Linked DNA regions of Oreochromis niloticus. The protein of the gene in region 1 purifies or fractionates together with the protein of each later gene. This does not show direct contact. Links are inferred from orthologs where the notes say so. Each region holds a gene or a part of one and is shown in the gene's direction. Other genes may lie near its edges.

Region 1 (10,777 bases):
TATTTAAATTATTAAATTAAATTATTGCATTTTTGTATATATTTCATCTATAGTTAATAAGTATATTGCCTATATTGACTGTCACATCTATTTTATTTATAGCATTATTAAAATCATTTATAGTAATCGGAAGATTGGTGGTTTGATCCCTGGCTCCAGTCTGGTCAAGATACTAACCATCAAAGTGTGAATATAAGTTTTTGAGGATCTGAAATATGTAAGTGTGACAAATATGTAAAAACTAATACATTAGAAAGGGGGGGGGGACATGCATTCATACAGCTCTTGATTCTATGCACCTAAAATATTTTATCTATCTCACATCCATGGCCAGTTTAGAAACACCAACCTGACATGAATGTCTTTGGAATGTGGAAGGCAGCTAAAACATGTGGAGGAAACCCACACATTGATAGGGAGACCATGCAAACTCCACTCAGAGGGCCACAAACAGGGTTCAAACCAGGAAGCTTCATGCTGTGAGGCAACAGTGCTAATCGCACCAACTCCCAAGGTTACTCTCTCATTCAGGAGTGGACAAAAGGTGTGTAAAAGAACACCTCAGTCAAACATCAGCACAGTGTTGATTTAACCCTTCAATGTCAACTTCCCAACAAATTCTGACCTTTAAAAAAGATCAATAATCAGTGATGCAATAAATAAAAACATTCAGGTTTTAAGGTTCAGAAATGTAGACATTGGGGATTTGTTAGCATCAGTGAGACACAAATAAATCAAGTCACAGAGACAGGTACAACCTAATTTCCACATTTACAGTCTGCTGTCTGAGAGGCAATTAATATAGAGGAATGGTGAGATGTAGGGCATTAGTCAGCAGGAAACACAGGCCATAACAGAGTTATAAAGAAACAGCAGCTTTGTATTTAGGGCAGGGCTGTAACTATTAATGAGGAGCCGCCTCACTGTGAACAGTGACCATACCTCCAGTCTGTCTTTTGGTCTCATCGTAAACAGACCACAGCCTCTCTGTCGTGTTCTGACCGTCTAAGGAGCTGCTACAAACAGATGCTGCGCACTTTCCGGCTCTGGGCTGGTGGGAGAGTAGCTGACCGACTCCCTGGGACACCGCTCTGAAATTCCGCTTCCATAACCGAGACCTTACCGGGTGGTGGTGGTGGTGGTGTAGCCCCTGTACGACATTACAGAAAATATTGGCCCTCTGCAGACAGTCCGTGTGTTTCAGAAGAGACGAGAGCGGCAAAGACCAGGGCGCCATAGCTTCGTTCAGAGCGTGGCGGACCGTGCGGAGGTCGCGGAGTACTCCCCAGCCGACTGCATGCACTAACGGGCTCACTCTGCAAAAACAGAAACTGTCGCTGTGTAGTTGCTCTTGCGTCACTTCCCTGTTTGGTAAGGTCACGACCAGCCAGCCAATCAGGAGCTCGTGCGTTTGACGTTCAGTGCCTCCCATAGCCTGAATATATTAATAATAATAATAATATGTATAAATGTATATAAGATGCATATTTTTAACACTTTATGCTCGCTCCTTACTGCCCTTGCATCATTTGGGATCACAGATAGGCTACACGTAGTAAATGTGTTATTACAGAGTAGAGATCCTGCAGTGTTCAAACCCACAGTATTGTCTCTGGCAATAAAAAAAAAAGAAGAATGCTAAATCAAACAGATTCAAACAGGAGCCACAAACATCAACCAGCAAATTCAGAACTCAACCTTTTGGGACATGCTCAGACTATCTATCTATCTATCTATCTATCTATCTATCTATCTATCTATCTATCTATCCTTCCTTTCTTCCTTTTAGGGATGGGGACGAGGATTGTCAGAAAGAGTGGTGTCTCTTTTAGCTTCTGCTTGTTACATTCAGATCATCTGCCCACGTGAACATGTAAACAAAATGAGCAAGCAGTAGAATAATATGCACATTTGTGGGAGAACCTTGCACCACTGTTTTTCTATCATTTGTGTTTGCTACAATGTGCATATTTTATGTTAATAGCTAAATAGTGCCGCCTAGTGGATAAAGATTAGCGGTACACTCATTCGCTGTATGCTTGTACAGCATTACCAAGATGTGTTGGTGTAATAGTGTAGTTTTATAAGTCTGTTACTCACCGTCAACCCTTCTTTGCAGGTGTGTTGCACCCATAATTTCGGAAAGATCCACCACCCAAATCGATGAGGTCAGAGGTCAAATGTGACATAATATTTGGATGCAAACAATAATATGATACTTGAAATCCCCATGAGTATTCACTTATCATTTTTCAGGGTCTTAGGGCAAGAGGCAGGGTACACCCTGTCTAACACATAGACACAGACAACCATTTGCACTAACATTGACTCCCACATTCACACCTATGGGCAAGTTAGAGTTTTCAGTTAACCTATCCCCACTAACAGCATGTCTTTGGACTGTGGGAGGAAGCTGGAGTACCCAGAGAGAACCCCTCAAGCATTCTGCCAGCAGGCATGGGTTCTTTTTGTGTGGAGAAAGAACCAGGCAGAATTGAACTCAGGACCTTCTTGCTGTGAGACAACAGTGCTAACCACTGTGCCGCCCCTGTATGTCTATATGTTGTCAACAAAAACAAATGCAGTTGCTCTATATCAGTTTGACCTTCGGAATAATCTACTGACCCTGAAGGAGAGGTCAGAGGTAAAATGTGAAATGACACAAATATTTTTGTCAATTTTTGACAAATTAATCCTTAAGCTGACCTTGAAGACCTTGGTGGATGTGAGCTACATTTTAATGGATTGTGAACATGACATCATCTACACCCCGACAAAGTTTTATCATAATTCATTCAAAACCTTTGGGGCTATCGTGTTTACAGACTGAAAGTATGACGTGCACATATGCATGCAAATGCTACTAAAACTTTCACCTCCTATGCAGAGGTGGAGGGAGGGCTCAAGACTTTTGATCAGTGCTACACCAAAAGTCATTATTTCACCTCCAGATAGCTCACAATATAGCTATTAGGCTAATACAGTATGTGCTTCTTACTTTTTTAGCAGATGACATCACATCTATCTAATATTAGCTAGATGGACTAGCTACATAGCAGAAATTGTGAAATCCCATGTGAACAGATTTAGAGTCTTAGATCATTAGATACTCTGGGACTTTGTTAATTTTTCCAAATTCAAGGTTTATATCTAAAGACAACGAACATTGTCTTGTTCAGTTTGCTCTATATTAATGTAAGTGGGAAGCTATTCCTTAATTGATAACTTATCATTCCTCTCTGGGATGCTCTTACCAAACCAATCACATAATTAGTCTGCCTCATTAGTTGATACCAAAAAAGGAAAAGAAAATGCAAAATCTCTCAGTCCAAACATTTAACATTTTCAGCTAGATATTAAGTATCTCACATACATATGTGAGCTTTTCAAATGAAAAGACTCTGCCTTTCATCAAAGTTATCCAAGGAAAGAATTCTGTGATCATCCACTTTATTTTGTGGTCTTTCAGGTCTTTTGGTTTTGCTGAACTTGCCAGTGTATTTCTTTTTAAGAAGGTATCAGTTCATTGATCTGGCCACTCCTGAAGGTTTTGCCATCTCTCTGATAGGTGTATTTGGGATTTAGTGTAATGATTGTTGTTGTTTTTTCACTTGCATCAATATCTCTTTGGAACTCTAATTGAGATTTCCAGTGAAAGTAACCAAATACAAGTTCAGCACTTGGAATGAACTGCAGATCTTTTATCTCCTTGATTTGTCATGGAGTAATGAGGGAACAGGCCTCACCTGGCCATGAAACTCCTGAAAATAGGGCACATTATGGACATTATGGACAATGCTGGGCATCCTCTGCACACGGCCATAAACAACCAGAGGAGTCTGTTCAGTGACAGGTTGCTTCTCCCAAAGACAAGAACCAACAGACTTAAAAACTCCTTTGTCCCACACGCCATCAAACTGTTTAACTCCTCTCTGGAGGGGAGAGGGAGGGGAAACAGGAGGACAAAGGAGGGGGGGACAACTAAGCTGTAGTGCCTTTTCACTGTGCAATACTTTTTGTTAATATCCAACGGTGCAATAGACTCCCAATACGTGAAATTTGCAATTCCCTTGTATTCTTATTCCTATTTATTCTATTAATCCCTTTTGTATACTCTGTATTTATATATGTGTATATATGGTATATTTCTGCTCACATTCTGTAACTTCTGTCGGTGCTGTGCTATTGGAAACCGAATTTCCCGGAAGAACCCACCCGAGAGATTAATAAAGTTTTATCTAATCTAATCTAATCTAATCTAATCTAATCTAATCTACTATGTATAAAAAGTGCTGTAATTTCTAAACAGTGACTGCAAAGGGTTTGTTAAACACAGTGAATTAAAGCTGAAAGTGTGCACTTCAAGCACATATTGATTGTCTGATTTAGAATCCACTGTGGTTTCTAAATCAGACAATCAATCGTTGTGAACAGAGACAAAATCACAAAAACTGTGTGATTGTCCAAATAGTGACAGGCCTGCCCGCCTGAAGTTTGTGATCAACAAGTAACCCAACAGTGATAAACTTAACTTTGACTAATAATGATATAGTGGCGCAGTGGTTACCACTGACACTTAAACGCAAGAAGGTACAGAGTTTGAATCCACCAGCCAGCTGAGACCTTTCTGTGTGGAGTTTGCATGTGTTTCCTGTGTAGGTTCACATTGAATTGTGGATTATGATCTTGGATTGGGTAAGCAGAAGGATTGTGACTTAAAATTGGGTAAACAAATTAATTCTGCTTAAAAAATGCAGCTCCTCATCTTCTTAATAGAACCCATAAAATGGAGCATATCCCCCCTGTCCTAACCTCCTTTCACTGGCTTCCTGTGTATTTTACAATTGATTTTTGAGGTTTGATGTATGTTTTTAAATCCCTTAATAGGCTGTCACCAACATATTTTGCCAATCTCTGAAAAACTTATGCAACTTCAAGGCCACTGACCAGTTATTCCTCTATGTCCAAAAGACAAGACTTAAGGGTGAATCAAGCTATCTCAGCCATAAGCTCAACATTTTTTTGAGTCCACCTTTGAAACGAGTTTTTCTTCTTTTGCTTTCGACCCAGCATAAGAGTTGAAGGCATTAAGGCTGTTTTGTGTATTTTTGCAGTTCTTTTAGGTTGATGTGTGTGGGCATGTGCGTGTATATCTTGTATTATGTATTATGTAATCCACCTTTTTATGTACAGAACTTCGGTAATCTTTGCTGTTTTATAGATGCTTTATGAAAATTGTATTAGACTGGAAAAATCCTTTTAAGATAGAACTATGACTTACTGTAATGTAGTAAATTAAACTATTGACCTTATAACAAAAAAGTACTAGCCCAGTATTTTATTATTTATCTTTAAATTGTTAATTCTGATCTTTTTTCCATTCACATTTGGAGAAACATCACACTTAATAGGAGCTGACACTGTGGTCAGACAGTCAAGTTTAATACATTTGAGATGTTCAGTATTGACGATGGTTGTCATATTTTTAAAATAAGATTCACAGTATCTCTTTTAAATATCGCTGCTGACACGATCGCTAACACCCCTGACACAAAACAAACTGAGCAAGCAGCACAATAATGATATCCTGATCTGCGGGAGAACACTAAGAACTAGTTCCTGAAACATTAGCATTTGCCATTTCAGCTTGCTAACTATATAGCGCCACCAAGTGGATCAGATTCGGTGACTCACTTGAGATAGACTCATTCATTATACTTTATGCTTCCACAGCATTACGATGCATCCAGTCATTTAAAGGAAAGGGAATGCAAAATGCCAGAATAACACGCCATATACACATCGAAAAACACTGCATCATTTACTTTTGTAGAGACTGAAACGGGCTTGGAGCCATAAACTAAACATTCACCAGCTTTCGATTATTAATCTTAAGTGTGTTCCTTGGCTCGGGAACTTTACTTGGAAGTGCTGTCAGTGATGTTTTCCCTACAATGAAAGGTAAATTTTAGGATGTGCTGATTATTCATTCCTGGCCAATGGTGTCCAGCCACGATTTTCGGGTCTAGGCATATGTTGAAGAAACTGATTGGACAACATGTACCGTAGACTGTATTGTGATTGGTCGACGGTCGTGCGTGGTGCACAGCCATTGGTCGGTAGTCACGGGGTAAGGCGAGTGGGCTCTTTTGGTGGGAGAGACGGCTAGTCATTCCTCGTTGTAAAAACCAGTGCTGCATGCGCTGATCTCCCGGCTATTGTCTCAGCAGCTGAAGGCTCAAGTCGTCAGGCAGTCAGTCAGGAAGCATCTCACAATGAAACGAATCTGGGTGATAGGGCTTCTTTTCGCACTCTTAGCATGTGGTGAGTAGCGGCATTTTTTTTAAAATTATTCATTATATTAGCTACCTTTAGCCCGTATGCTAGCACTAACTTGGTTTTTTGCTTTTCTTCTCATTCACTGTGGAGTTTACACGTTCTCCCTGTACTTGACTTTAAAAGGCTTGCAGGTGTCAAAGCAACAGTCTAGTTATATATATTATTCCAATGACGAAGAGCGTATTTAATTTACCTGTTATTTTAGAGTAACGCCACTGTCCGTTAATCTCCTTGCCTTTCCAGAACTTTCTAGCAGAAACACCATCTGTGTTGAAGCTGTCTCATGTTAGCTAACCTCCACTGTTGCATACATGCACGTTAAAATAATGATTAAAAAGCTAACACGGTCAGACGTTACGTCTTAATTAATTTGGTGACTGTGAGAATGTGTTTGCACAGTGCTTTAAAAAAAAAAAAAAATGTTAAATGAGTCTAAAATTACCACATGTTCCCGGTAATTGATAATGAATTTTAATCGAGCAACTTTGTCCCTTGACAGCTGCCGTAAAGGCAGATGATGAACTTGACGTTGACGGGACAGTCGAGGAGGACTTGGGTAAAAGCAGGGATGGCTCCAGAACAGACGATGAAGTGGTGCAGAGGTAGGTGTTACTTTGCGTAACTCCATATACCTTTCTAGATAACTGCAGTTATTGTATCAGGGAAAGTCCACTAAATCTTAGCAGAACAAGGTCAAGATGATAAAGCTTGTGTACAGGTGCTCAGGGCCACTTTTGAGTTATAGTGGAGGTAAGAGGTGTGCAAGTTTTACTGTAAATTTGCTTGTAATAATAGGAAGTTGTATATATCTTGCTTTCATCTTCAATCTTAGTTATCTGAAAGGACAACAGATTTGTTTGGCAGCAAAGATTTGCTGTCGTTCCCCTCTCTTACCCTGCTTGTATTTGCATCTGTCTGCCTTCAGAGAGGAGGAGGCAATCCAGCTGGATGGTTTGAATGCAGCTCAGATTAAGGAACTCAGGGAAAAGTCTGAAAAACATGCCTTTCAGGCTGAAGTTAACCGTATGATGAAGCTGATCATCAACTCTCTCTACAAGAACAAGGAGGTAGGCAGGAATCTTTACTCAACCCTGTGTCTACATATTTTTATTTAAGACAGTTCTCACAGAGCTCATCATCACTTTTTTGTGCTGCAGATCTTCCTTAGGGAGCTGATTTCCAATGCCTCGGATGCTCTGGATAAGATCCGCTTGTTGTCCCTGACCAATGAGGATGCAATGGCCGCAAATGAAGAGCTGACCATCAAAATAAAGGTATGCATTAACTTACTGAATGCTGACACCTTTAATGGAAAAGCTGTGCATCCACTAATTTAATTTCATTATTTCTATCCCCAGTCTGATAAGGAGAAGAACATGCTGCACATCACTGACACTGGTATTGGAATGACCAAGGAGGAGCTAGTAAAGAACTTGGGAACCATTGCCAAGTCAGGCACCAGCGAATTCCTTAACAAGATGACAGAGATGCAGGAAGAGGGACAGTCTACCTCAGAGCTGATCGGACAGTTTGGTGTCGGTTTCTACTCCGCCTTCCTTGTTGCTGACAAGGTCATTGTGACATCCAAGCACAACAATGACACACAGCACATCTGGGAGTCTGACTCAAATCAGTTCTCTGTCATTGAGGACCCCCGTGGGGACACACTGGGAAGAGGAACCACCATCACGTAAGTTATTTATGTGTTAACATTTGCCCACACAGGATTTGGTTTCTTGATCTTTCAAATAGCTCCTGTGAAATGTGTGCATGGCTCACGTTATTTGTCAAAGCTTATGAAATCGTAGTTAATGTTTTTGTGTTGTTAATGTACAGTCTTTATTGAAGAAGAACTGCAGAGTATTTTCATGCTGCTACATGAGTCTGAAAGTTATAAAAGCCTGAACTTTGAAATTTAATCTCATCTTTGTCTAATTGCAGACTTGTCCTAAAGGAGGAGGCGTCAGACTACCTGGAGCTGGAGACCATCAAGAATCTTGTCAAGAAATACTCCCAGTTCATCAACTTCCCCATCTATGTGTGGGCCAGCAAGGTGACTACTTTGTCATTTCCTTCAACACTATGAGTCAGACTTAATCCCAGACTGAAACTGGCAAATATGGAAATGAACAAACGGTTGCATAATTTCTTTTAACATTCAAGACTGAGACGGTTGAAGAGCCCATTGAGGAAGATGCTGAGGCAGCAGAGGAACCAGAGAAAGAGGCTTCTGAAGATGAGGCTGAAGTAGAGGAAGAAGAAGGAGAGGACAAAGACAAACCAAAGACAAAGAAGGTATGTTAATGAAGAAATGGTGGTTGAGGACTATATTGACATATGTGTGATCATTAACAGTTTTTTATGGTGGGTTAAAGTCCCATTGAGTCATTAAGATTTATGGACTATTTTACTCAGAAAGCAGTCTGTGAAAATATGTCTGATCTAAAATGTATATTTTTCAAAAGTTATATAATTGTGTGTGATGTGTAGGTTGAGAAGACTGTGTGGGACTGGGAACTGATGAATGATATCAAGCCCATCTGGCAGAGGCCGGCTAAGGAGGTTGAGGAAGATGAGTACAAGGCTTTCTACAAGACCTTCTCAAAGGTAGGCACACAACCAGTAATACTTCGTCAAACCGGCTCTGTAGGCTGGTATACTAATGTCAACTTTACCCATCTTTCATCTTCCAACAGGACAATGATGACCCTATGGCTCACATCCACTTCACAGCTGAGGGTGAGGTCACCTTTAAGTCCATCCTGTTTGTGCCCACTTCAGCTCCCCGTGGGCTGTTTGACGAGTATGGCTCCAAGAAGAACGATTACATCAAGGTGTGTAGCCTAAGCAATATTTAGCATCAGATTTATTCAACTTTTTCAGCAATACCCCAAAAACTGAGTTTCAAAGTAAATGCCTTCCATTCGCAGCTGTTTGTCAGGAGAGTTTTCATCACAGACGACTTCAATGACATGATGCCCAAGTACCTGAACTTCATCAAGGGAGTGGTGAGTTATTTTTTAACTCTTATTCGACGATCTCATGCTAATGTTATGTGCTTGGTCTCTGCATTAATATCACCTGCACCGTGATTAAGGGAAACTTTATTTTGTTAGGTTGACTCTGACGACCTTCCTCTGAATGTGTCCAGAGAAACTCTGCAGCAGCACAAACTGCTCAAGGTGAGCTCAACATGCAGCCCTGTTCGCTTCCCATTCCATCATTTAGTCATCATTAACCAATTAAGCCACTGATTAAAATGGATAATGAAGCAACAAAGCAATTTTTAATGAGCGCAAATCATAAAGTGCTTTCAGGAATAACAGGGGGCACTAGAATATGGTTAAATTAAAGCATAAGTTAAAGATTCTGAATAACTAACACTAGATTTAATGCAGTATGAAATGGTCATACCTATTTTATCTTTTTCAGGTTATCCGCAAGAAGCTGGTCCGTAAGACTCTGGACATGATTAAGAAGATTGCAGAGGAACAGTACAACGACAAGTTCTGGAAGGAGTTTGGCACCAACATCAAGCTGGGTGTGATTGAGGATCACTCCAACAGGACCCGTCTTGCTAAGCTGCTGCGCTTCCAAACCTCCAACAGTGAAACAGACCTGTCCAGCCTGGAGCAGTATGTGGAGCGCATGAAGGAGAAGCAGGATAAGATCTATTTCATGGCTGGCACCAGCAGGAAAGAGGTGAGTGAATGTTTTTGGCCAGGTGAAAGAAGTGTAAACTATCCTACACTAGCTGAAATTCTCATGTCTCTTGTTCTTCCATCCGCTACAGGCTGAGTCCTCTCCCTTCGTTGAGAGGCTGCTGAAGAAGGGCTATGAGGTCATCTACCTGACAGAGCCTGTGGATGAGTACTGCATCCAGGCATTGCCAGAGTTTGATGGAAAACGCTTCCAGAACGTGGCCAAGGAAGGTGTCAAATTTGACGAGAGTGAAAAGGCCAAGGAGAAGAGGGAGGCCCTGGAGAAGGAGTTCGAACCTCTCACAACTTGGCTGAAGGACAAAGCTCTAAAGGATAAGGTAATGCTGTGATATTAAAAGAATGGGAAATGAGTGCCAGCTGTATAAGCAGTTAATTTTGGCTATAGCTGCCCATTTATGTCTGTTGCAACATTTAATGCATTGCTGTTTATTCCCCAACAGATTGAGAAGGCTGTTCTCTCTCAGAGGCTAACCAACTCACCCTGCGCCTTGGTTGCCAGTCAGTATGGCTGGTCAGGAAACATGGAGAGGATCATGAAGGCACAGGCCTACCAGACAGGAAAGGACATTTCCACAAAGTGAGTGTTAATCCCGTGCTGATCTTTGCATGTCCATTTATTACTCCACCTGCTATTGCTTTGCTCTAAATCTGTATTTCTGTTTAATCTTTCCAGTTACTATGCCAGCCAGAAGAAAACACTAGAACTCAACCCCAAA
Region 2 (10,658 bases), on another chromosome or scaffold:
ATTCAAAACCGACGATGACGTTGGCGTCGAGATTTGGGTTGTGACAGTGTCTGTGTTCAATGTAGAAGCCATGTCGACGTTCACTCTGATGCCTCTGTGTTTCTAAATGGAGGGACAGTAACTGTGTGTGTATGTGTTACCGTGTAAAAAATGCAGATAGTAAGATTAAAAGCAAGGGTATTTTATCTATATTTGCCATTGTAGAAATTCATCTCATGTAAACAATAACGTGGTGCAAAGCTTGACATCAAAAAAGGCGCTCACCTTTGACGTTGTGAGGCTAAATCTCTGTTTTCTTCGTACAGACGTAAAGGCAAAAATTGAGTTTTTAAAAAATCTCTATTTTCAGTGATCCAAAACGCTTTTGCGTGTGGACGAAAGGCCCAAACAAATAGAAAAAGCTGCGTTTTCAAAAATACCCGTGTATGTAGTCTTATTAATGCACAACTCCTGCACGATCCACAGAGAAGCGGGGAGGTTTTAAGGCTGCTGGTTGTGTACTGGAAGCATGCAAAAAGCGAGGTCTGTGTTTATATATGTTCTAATGCATGTGCATTCAAACTGTGTGACTTTTCTCTGATAGTTGATCTCAGGTTAATGTTTGCAGGTTAATGTAATGTGTTTTTATTCTAACTGCGTAGTAACAAACCACAAAGCGAAGCAGATTAGTATATGACAAGAGTGATGTGAGATTGTGGATGATTTTCCATGTAAGAGATAGATAAGTCTAAAAAACAATTTCCTGTAGCGTGCGCTGAGACAGATGGATTATTTCAAGTAACACATTTTGTTACATCATTATTTAATTTAAGTAAAACAACACATCAGGCCGCATAATAATATTTTAGCCACACAGATAAAAAATGTGAAACACCTCTTAAGTACTCCTTACCTCGTCTGAAAGCTGCTGTACTCTTTAGCCCGTCTCCTCTTCATCTCCTCCAGCTCTGAAGCCTCGAAGGCAGTGTGCAGCGGGTGAGCTGACACCCGAGGGAACAAGAGTTGTGCGAACGGTAGGTTTACCCCCCCACTTTCGCCCTCACATATGCATCCATTACGTGCCAGCAAACTGGACAGATTATAAGACACGTGTGATCAGATTTAAGCTCAGGTCTGTCCGCTTTGGTTCAAAATAGCATTACTTACCTCGCCACATTATCCCTTACATGGAAGGGAATATTGCTCAATCGATGGTCTGACTCAGGGACCCTCTCTTCCAGATGCCTCTCTACTATAAACGCTGGTCGCTGCCAAACATCCACTGTGGTGTAACCCCGAGTGGGCCACGAATGGAGGAGAGCCAGTACTAGCACCACAGATACCAGGATGACTAGCAACACCGTCTTCCTCATGGACCGCATCCTGGAACCTGTCAGAGATTAGTATGTTGGATGACGTTCTGGTTTTTATAATTATACTCTGAAGATATTTCCGAACAGGAATGCAATGTAAGTGATGGGAACAAAATCAGCAGTCTCTGTTTTGTGTGACAACTTTGTGAGGTTTTGCTAAAGTTAAAAGGTTATGTCATGTCATCCCCCCCCCCTTCCACTTCAGCTCAACCCAAAAACAGCCCGCAGGAAGTTGTTTAATTGAAGAGGCCCCGTATTAATTTTAGTCTCAGAAAATTTTCTAAGTCATCATCACAGCTACAGATCCATGGAAAATTATTCACATTTTTGTGGTTGCACTCACAGAGGAGCCATGAGAAGAGATCTAGATATCTGCTGAAAGAATCAGCATAATGAAATCATGAATGCCTTCCGATCCCTCATTCCCCTCCCATATTTTTTCTCCTCGATTCTTCTTCTTCTGTATAACTGAAAGCAGATGTCTCCCCTTTCAGAAACTTGCCAGCACACAATAAACTCTTTCTCCTCCAGCTGCGACAAACTAAAACTCCATTTCTGATTCTGCATGCATTTGGGTGTGGGTGCGATGGAATCCTTGTAAATGAATTGCTCATATTGTGGGAACGTAAATAATAAACACAGCTACATAGTGGGAATCCTGCCTTCTTGTTAAAGACATAAATGTTTACATCTAATGATGAAGACTTTGTTTATGTTCAAAGTAGGAAAAGTCTAGTGTTAGAAATAATGTGGAAAACCTTTGAAGTGATGGAATCGAGACTCTAAATCTATGTCTCTTGTATGTATGTGTATGTGTGTGTGTAGGCTTGCTTACAATGATCTAATTATACCAACACTAAATTCACTGCCACAAATGTAGGAGATAAGACATTAAATGAAACCTAATCCTTGGCAGACAGACTTTCATTTCTAGCAGTTTAAAAAGTATTTATAGGAATATCTACCTCACTGCCTCTATCCAATCATTGAAAGGAAAACCTCTGTTGACACCTGCATCTCCAGAAACCATGTAAACATTTGTGGAAATGAGCAAGCGCCTTCTCCATCTGGAAAGAACAAAAAACAAATCAAGGAGTACAGGCTGAAAAAATGGATAACAACTAATAATAATATAACAGAATGTACTATTAAGAAACCTAGAGTGCATATAAACTTATATTATCATGAGGTAAGTGACCATGTAGTGTTTCATTAAGTGACTGCATGGTACCACAGCTGCCAGAGGATATTAGTTTTACAAAGGGCTGGAGGGGAAAAACTCAATCAATACAGGGGAAAGATTAATAGGATCAGAACTAGCAGCCAATCAGCTCATCCCAGAAATTTATTATAAACTCATATTTAGCAAACTCATGAAGGTTTTCAGGCTGCAACTCAATTTCTTCTTTTTTAGGAGATTAATTTAGCCAAATCGATATGTATGCAAGGAAAAAAGAGTGTTTTTACAACTATAACAAGCTTGAAAGTCAATATTTGGTATGGCCACCTTTATTTCTTATCATAGTCTGAACGCTTGGGCAAGCCTTTCTTGTAATTTCTTTAAGTAGTCTTAAGGAATAATTCTTCTGGTTTCTTGAAGGACATTCAAAGCTCTTCTTTGGATGTTGTCTGCCTTTTATTCTGTTTTCAGTCAAGATGATCCCACACTGCTTCATTAATGTTGAGGTAAAGCTCTGGGGAGGCCAATCCATGACACATAGTCATGGATTAAGGTATATTTTACTCCACTGATAGTGTGTTGGGATCACTGTCAGACTGGAAAATGATACCTAATAAATCTAACAATACTTTTCTGTGTTCATAATTTCATAAATTTTGACAAGATCTTAAACACTGCATTTTACAGATGGCTTTGGACACTCCCTGTTGTACCTTTCAGTCTAGTTCTTGTGTAATCGGTAATCTCCTATACCTCAGAGTTTTCTCGCAGTTTCCCTTCTTGACCACCACCCTTCCAAAAGGAAAGGAAATGGGAGCAAATTTGATGTTGTTTAAAAAAAAAAAAAATTTTTTTAGAATCGGTTCTTTGCCAAGTTGTTTACTAAATGTGGACACCACACATGTCATCCCCTGATTATGTTTGAATTATTTATAGATCAGTGGCTTACAAAACAGCAATAACAAAAACATTCCTGTGAGATTGCTCAGGTACAAGGATCAGACTGAAACTAGGTCAATAAGCAGCCAACGACTTAAAAAGAAAAATGTTTAAGACCTTCAGGATGTCCACTTTTTAAATAATTACAAATCTGGCTTCCTGGAATCAAAATATAAAAAATGAGGGGTTGGTCTCGACTTTTTGCACAGTACTGTATTTCAACAGAGATTGTAAGGTAAGACAACATGACATGATGCATATCTTTGAAGATAATGTTTTGCATTACTGCAGGCCTCGTAGATTTGATCCCCCCCCCACCCCGTCGGAATAATAATTATCAGCGATAGTGGAACAGCCCTAATACATAACAGATGATCTAAGCCAATCACAACATAGGCGTGTGCTGCACACTAACGACCCTATGGTAGGGAGCGCCGCGGTGAACATGCTATGGACATGCATATAGTCCGTGGGTCACTACCAAAGTCCGCGTGACAGATTTGCTCGCATGTTTCGGACTATTTGGGATAATTAGCACAAAATTAGCACACCTCCCTTCGTACTGTGAAACATGAGGAAAATATGGGAAAAAAAATAATGCGAATGTGTGTGCAGAAATCCGAGGTAGCGAATATAAATACCCGGCTACACACAGGCCTATTAGCCCACCTTATTCTGAGTGAGCGCAAGAAAACCCTACAAAGAAAACAAAAACCCATGCATCCGAAATTATCTTTAAACAGCACTTCTAATATGCTGAAAAACATCTCCAGAACAAAGACATAGTGTGTATTTAGTTATTTTACCACCATGTTATGTCTAAAATGAAAAATAAAAAAAATCTCATGCCTATCCCCTCCCCTGTCTATCACAGAAGCTTTCAAACGTTCAGCCAGAGCTGAGAAATAACAACCCCCGAAAAAAAAATCTCCTGCCGAAGACGGAGACACGGGCCTTTAAAGCAGCACCCCACTGTAGAAAAAATCAAATAACCCCACAGCTCACCTCAGTTAAGACGCACACTGCAGACTCTTTCACCTCCCTGCTGCACGGAGCTCGCCCCTCTCTCACGGATCTGTTCCTCGGAGGTCTTGAAAATGGAATTATGTGGGGGGAAGCGGCGCAGAGACGGAGCGGCCGCGCATCGCAACACTGCAGGCTGTTGGACGGATGCTCCCCCTGCAGCAACAGCGGCTGCGGCGCAGCGGCGAGCGCACCGATTTCACCGCTACACCAGACCCATCAGTGGTCTGTCAGCTGAGCACGCACACACACAGACACAGAGGAGAGGATACCACTGAACTGACTGCACGATTTCTCAAAAAAAGTAGAATTATGATCAAACAGTAACATTTATGTCTACATACGTGTTTAGATTGGTGCGTGGGTGTGTGGTGGGCGTCTGTTCACACAGCCGATAAATATTGTACTGCTTATTCAGCTTCTACAGTATCACACCCTCTGTCCTCCCCTCCTTTCTGGTATTCTGTTAAGGAATGCTTTCTTTCTTCAAGGAATTGTCTTGATTTTTCCCTCACCAGATATTTAAACCCAGAACTGCACTTTTCGCTCAGCTCGGTGTGTACGTTTTGGGTGTCATATGAATCATTTTATCGTTTTGTCATCATTGTACCTAATTGTCAATGTAAACCTTTAAAATCAGTTACTTCGGACTGTTTTGCATCAAAACAAAATGAAACAAACGAAGAACCCCCCCCCAAACTCGTGATTGTTATTTGGCCATGCGACAGGCCGCCTTGTCTTCGTGCTTAAGTGTGAGCCTATTTCATCGCAAGTCAGGCGGTGACAGCGGAGATGTGGGCCATTATCAGTCATTGGCCGTTATTCATTAGCATGCTATATATAGCACAAACACGCCGTTCATTGACTGTCCGCTGGTATGAAAACCAAACGCACCCCAGAACTGGGGAAAAACTTTGATTGACTTGGAAATTGGCCAATGACAAAGCAGGGCTTTTCACCTCGACCAATCCGCTGCTACCATGTCAGGCATTCTGTGTGTTGTTGCTGTCAGACAGGGGTAAGAGGCGAGAGTCAATGATGGCTGCTTCCTTGGTTTGGTTGTTAAAGAGACTGTACGTTTTCTTGTTGGCATGTCCCCTCTGTGTCCCGGGCTTCTTGAATTTGGAGGAGCTTAATGAGATGAAATATGGGATTCAGATTCTTCCCGATCCTGTCATCCTGGGGCAGGTGAGTCAGGAAATGCTAACGGATATAGCTTGTTAGCTTAAATATGAGCTAGCGTTATTTATTTACTATTAATAGTGTCAAATAATTCACACAGCGTGAGACCTGATGTCATAAAAGCACAAAACATATGAAAATAAATCTTATAAAATTACATGAAGACTAGTAATTCTCAGGTGAAGTACGCAGCATGCTGTGACAGCTGTTATGTTCATTGCCACAGGTCTATAAGTAACTAGCTGAAAGTAAAGCCCTATGGGCTCAAAATGTGGTCATAAATATTTTGTACTTGTAAATCAGGATTTGTATGTGTAAAAAGAATTTGTGTGTGCGTAAAAAAGATTTGTATGTGTAAAAAGAATTTGTGTGTGCGTAAAAAAGATTTGTATGTGTAAAAAGACTTTGGGTGTGCATAAAAAAGATTTGTTTGTGGACTTAGCCAAAAACCCCTGCAAGTTACAAGTACGAATTTTGACCCTATTTTTCTTCCTTTCATCTGATTGGTCAATGTCATGTCAATCACAAATGTAACAATCCAATCAGAGAACAGATGGGTTTGGCTGTCGGAGGGGCACTTTTTTTGAACTGCAGGTCTTTGAAGGGAATAAATGCCCTTTTACATGCCAACCCAGTGTTTTCCTTCATCACCACGAAGGAAAACAGTCTGTGGTCGTCCGAGTTTGGTGACTTTTGTGTCACAGGTCTACGTGTTTAATACAGGGACTTCCACAGCCTTTTCGACAGCGCTGCGGACCGCGGGGGGGGGGGCGGGCAGTGTTTTGGAAATGACAGTCTTCATTACAAAGCTTTCTTCGTTATGAATTAGCATACATGTTTTTATTGAACATTCGAAGAACTAGCAAAAAAAAAACCCCCAGAAACTCTTGTAGAGGACATAAAGTCAGAGATAGAAACGACAAGGAGCAGGTGCATCTAGTACAGGTAGAGCTGCTGCAAAAAACCACAGAGCCCAGCAACCAGCGCAACAAATTCTGGATCCTTTGCGTTTAGTTAGCATTAGCAGCACATCCTGTGCTCGATGTGAAAGGACTTTTATGCTGCTCACTGTGACTCACAGCAATGGTCCCGGGTCAGCCCTGACTTTGTGTTAAACTAATCCTAAAGTAATAATGGTATGTCTAACCACTGGCATACCACAACTTTATCCTTTCAACAGCTGCTGAAAGTTAGCGGACCTAGCTGCTATCGGATATTTATATAGAGATCCTCCAGCTTCAAACTGTATTACCCTTCAAGGACCTGCAGTTCAAAAAAGTGCCCCTCCGACAGCCAAACCCATCTGTTCTCTGATTGGATTGTTACATTTGTGATTGACATGACATTGAACAATCAGATGAAAGGAAGAAAAATAGAGTCAAAATTCGTACTTGTAACTTGCAGGGGTTTTTTTTGGCTAAGTCCACACACAAATCTTTTTTACGCACACACAAATTCTTTTTACACATACAAATCTTTTTTACGCACACACAAATTCTTTTTACACATACAAATCTTTTTTACACACACACAAATTCTTTTTACACATACAAATCCTGATTTACAAGTACAAAACTGATTTACAAGTACAAAATATTTATGACCACATTTTGAGCCCATAGAAAGCCGCAAGCCATGTTTTTATCTGTCTGCACTCAAGTAATGCATTGGTAATGTGTGCCCATGTGTGTCAACATTAAATTCGCCCCCTTTTCCATGCCTGTCTTACGTTTGTAGACTAAGACAGAGGAGGTTATGATGGTGTCCAGTAAGTACAAACAGCTCTATGAGTGTCGACTTCCAGCCCAGGCTGTGCGTTTTCATCAGGATCCCGCCACTGAGCCTGACTCGGAGGGTTACACTGGGCCAGATATCCCAGACCTGCTCAAGCCCATGCACAATGCCCCATGTCTAGTCAAGGTTGGTCTTTAACTACTTATCTGTGTAATCCAACAGTGAAATGCTTAAGCTGTTTATACTGTGATGTGGCTACAAAAATAATACAACAATAAGAACAAGAGCAAAACACACTGGAAGTGACTGTAAGTTAAGTATATTTGCCAGCTTAAGTAAGCTATTTGAAAGACACACGTGAATGCACCAGAAGCTTGCCAAAACAACACTGGGAGGCTCTTGATTCAGTATTCACTGGATTAAAGGTTGCTTGTCTGCATCAGTGACTGGGTACAAAAGCAGTATATCTAAGAGACAAACATCTGTTAATGTACCTGTGTTTTCAATTGTTCAGCTTAATGTGTTAATTTAAGGTTTACCCAAAAGCCCACAAGTACTTTATCACTATTTTCCTGCTCACAGTGCATTTTATCCACTATGACTGGATGTTAGAGCAAAAACACCTTGAAAATATTAAAAAATGTATCTCGTTACAATGTGTTTTTTGTATAGTCATGTGACAAAGAAAGTTTGTCACACTTTCAGCTTCCATAGGCATAAAGAGGTTAAGTCACAGCCTTGTGCTGTTAATCAAATGTGCTTGATTAATTGATCATGAGCATTTAGGTGTCTTAGCACAGTGCCAACGAGGAAAAACAACACCAAAGATCTCAAAGAATCAGTTGTTACTGCCCATCAGTCTTGATGCATTATAAAGCTATTGCCTTCAAAATGAACTCCATCATTCTACAGTAAATAAGATTTTTTCCCAACATTTGAGACAGCTGCCAATGTTCCCAGGAGTTGATGTCCCAGTAAAACCCAAGGTCAGCCTGTGCAGTCCTCAGAAAAACTGGAAAAATACCCAAGAGGCTATCTCAAACTCCACAGGCCGCAGTTAGAATGTTAAATGTTAAAGTTCACAACAGTACAGTTAGAGGAGTCTGACTTAGATTTTCAAAGTTACATCTGATTAAACCACAAGACTTCCTGAAAAATAGGCCTCATTTACAAATATGTGCGTGGGACCATTTCAGGCTTATGCACTGTGTCAAAGTCTAACAGAAATATATGTCCTGCAGACGAAGGACTGGTGGACGTACGAGTTCTGCCATGGCCAGCATATCAGACAATACCACCTTGAAGGTGAGAGGCCACTACTCTGTTTTGTTTTGTTTTTCTTAACTTTCAGTTATTGTTTTTGACTAATTTTGTTCTTTTGTCCTTAGACACAGAGATCAAAGGGGACATTCTCTTCCTGGGTTATTATGAGTCAGAATTTGATTGGAGCAATGAAACAGCAAAGGTAAAGTTGCCTCTATTTTGTGGCTGATTTGCATGACTGTACAATATGAACCAAACAATCGTGGGTGCATCCATTGTGTTTTTTCTCTCAGGCCTCCAAACAGCACAGGCTAAAGCGATACCACAGCCAGACCTATGTAAATGGCTCTAAGTGTGACCTAAATGGAAATCCCAGAGAGACTGAAGTCCGGGTGAGATATTTGCATTTGGAACACATCCTGCTTGAGTTTATTTGCGTGTTTCACTTTTTTTTCTTTTAAGTTTTGACTTCCTCCTTGCTAATCCAAATACTCATATGCAAAAGTGTGGGCATGCCTGTGCAGATTTACAAGCCTTTTACTTTTAAATATATCCCATGCAGCAGACATTTCGAACATGAATATGTTTTATGATTGCTTTCCTTAAAAGGCTCGCCTGAGCTCCTCAGACTCAGCTGAGTCTTAGTTAAAAAAAAAAAAAAATTGTTCTTTTTGTAGTGTAACTTTAGCACATTTAATGAGCTGTGCAAAACATTACTTCGTACTGCAACCAAATTAATTTAGCATTAACTCAGAGTATCCCAATCTAAAGTCAAAATCCATTTTTGCCAGTAACCTCTTTTGATCATCAGTATCTTGGATATCTTAGGATATAACATCCTCTACAGAAAAGCTGCACCAGTTTAATGTCTGTGAAGGAGAGTAACAGAAACAAGCATTGGCACCCTGGAGTTTTTAACTTTTCAACTTTATCCAAAATGTGCATTTTCAGCAAATTTGTCTAGTCAAAACAAGTTATAGCATCTTAACGGTTTCCATGTTACCTCCACTTTAATGCCAGAGTCATCTTTGCGATTCCTTCTGTGTCGAAATAATTCTGAATATTTTTGAGGGAGGTCAGGTGGGAGACGCTGGCTAGTTTTTCTGGAAAAATTAAAACTGTGACTTAGACATTAGTTCAGATTATGACAGCATGTTTCTTTTCTGTGACCCTAAAAGAGTTCGGGTGGAAAAAATACAAAATTTGGCATGTGAAATATTTTGGTCATCCTGATACCTTATAGGGTCCAAAAAGTAAACCTGTTTGGCCTTATTAAATTAAGGAACCTGTCACCTAGTCAGCTGTCTTAATCTCATGGAGCAGCCAGTTCTTTAGTGCTAAACAACCCTAAACCCCAAAACTAATTAAAAGAAAAATTGCCATCTGAAAACTAATGGTTTTGAGATTAATTGAGGGAAGTGCTTTGCTCACATGGGGACTTAACTGCACACTCAGATGAGACTGATTATTAGAACAAGAACTAAAAGAGGAGAGGAAATGAAATCAAGAAAGCTTTCCGTTCCCCAGATATTCATATGCAGCTGTCTGTTTAGAGATATGGCTTTAGTCAACTCTTTAGCCCTTCTAAAGGAGATTAAGTTTATCAGAAGATGCTGATTTTCTGATTACACAGATGTTGTAGTGAAACTCACCAACTCTGGAATCCTCTTAGCAACTCACTAAAGATCTGAAAATGATCGGAGTCTGTGGAAGAGGGATCAGAAGGAAACCTTAAGAGATGTAGAGTCAAAGTTAAGTTGTCAGTTGTGTGTGTGTTAGTCACACAGGAAACTTTTCACAAACAGGAAAAAGATTCTCTGTAAATTCTCAGTCACTAAGGTATTAGCAGTCGTAAGCACTTGTTAAGACATGAAAAAAGCAGAGACCAGCCAATGTTGGCTATACTGATCTGTCTGTGTTGGCATTTGTAACAGTTGATGAATTCCCTGATTATTTACTGTATTTAATCATTTTCAACTTAAAAA

The links. Proteins that work in one complex are often made in the same cells at the same time.
Region 2: the proteins of hsp90b1 (region 1) and os9 purify together in Homo sapiens (affinity purification with mass spectrometry; 6 studies listed by BioGRID and IntAct, with this or other methods). This does not show direct contact. The link is inferred for Oreochromis niloticus from reciprocal best matches to the Homo sapiens genes HSP90B1 and OS9.

The regions. Positions count from the first base shown.
Region 1 is NC_031972.2:48,746,177-48,756,953, forward strand, and holds the start of hsp90b1 (endoplasmin), read left to right. Parts: upstream 1-6,154; 5' UTR 6,155-6,275; coding exon 6,276-6,324; intron 6,325-6,838; coding exon 6,839-6,941; intron 6,942-7,264; coding exon 7,265-7,406; intron 7,407-7,496; coding exon 7,497-7,613; intron 7,614-7,697; coding exon 7,698-8,029; intron 8,030-8,280; coding exon 8,281-8,392; intron 8,393-8,502; coding exon 8,503-8,634; intron 8,635-8,829; coding exon 8,830-8,946; intron 8,947-9,035; coding exon 9,036-9,173; intron 9,174-9,269; coding exon 9,270-9,347; intron 9,348-9,455; coding exon 9,456-9,521; intron 9,522-9,771; coding exon 9,772-10,041; intron 10,042-10,132; coding exon 10,133-10,378; intron 10,379-10,501; coding exon 10,502-10,638; intron 10,639-10,734; coding exon 10,735-10,777. Other genes in the region: nt5dc3 (5'-nucleotidase domain-containing protein 3), read right to left, coding at 943-1,237.
Region 2 is NC_031970.2:23,291,158-23,301,815, forward strand, and holds the start of os9 (protein OS-9), read left to right. Parts: upstream 1-5,354; 5' UTR 5,355-5,529; coding exon 5,530-5,682; intron 5,683-7,413; coding exon 7,414-7,596; intron 7,597-8,651; coding exon 8,652-8,715; intron 8,716-8,798; coding exon 8,799-8,875; intron 8,876-8,966; coding exon 8,967-9,065; intron 9,066-10,658. Other genes in the region: b4galnt1b (beta-1,4 N-acetylgalactosaminyltransferase 1), read right to left, coding at 893-1,069, 1,147-1,361. UniProt on the Homo sapiens protein: Lectin component of the HRD1 complex, which functions in endoplasmic reticulum (ER) quality control and ER-associated degradation (ERAD).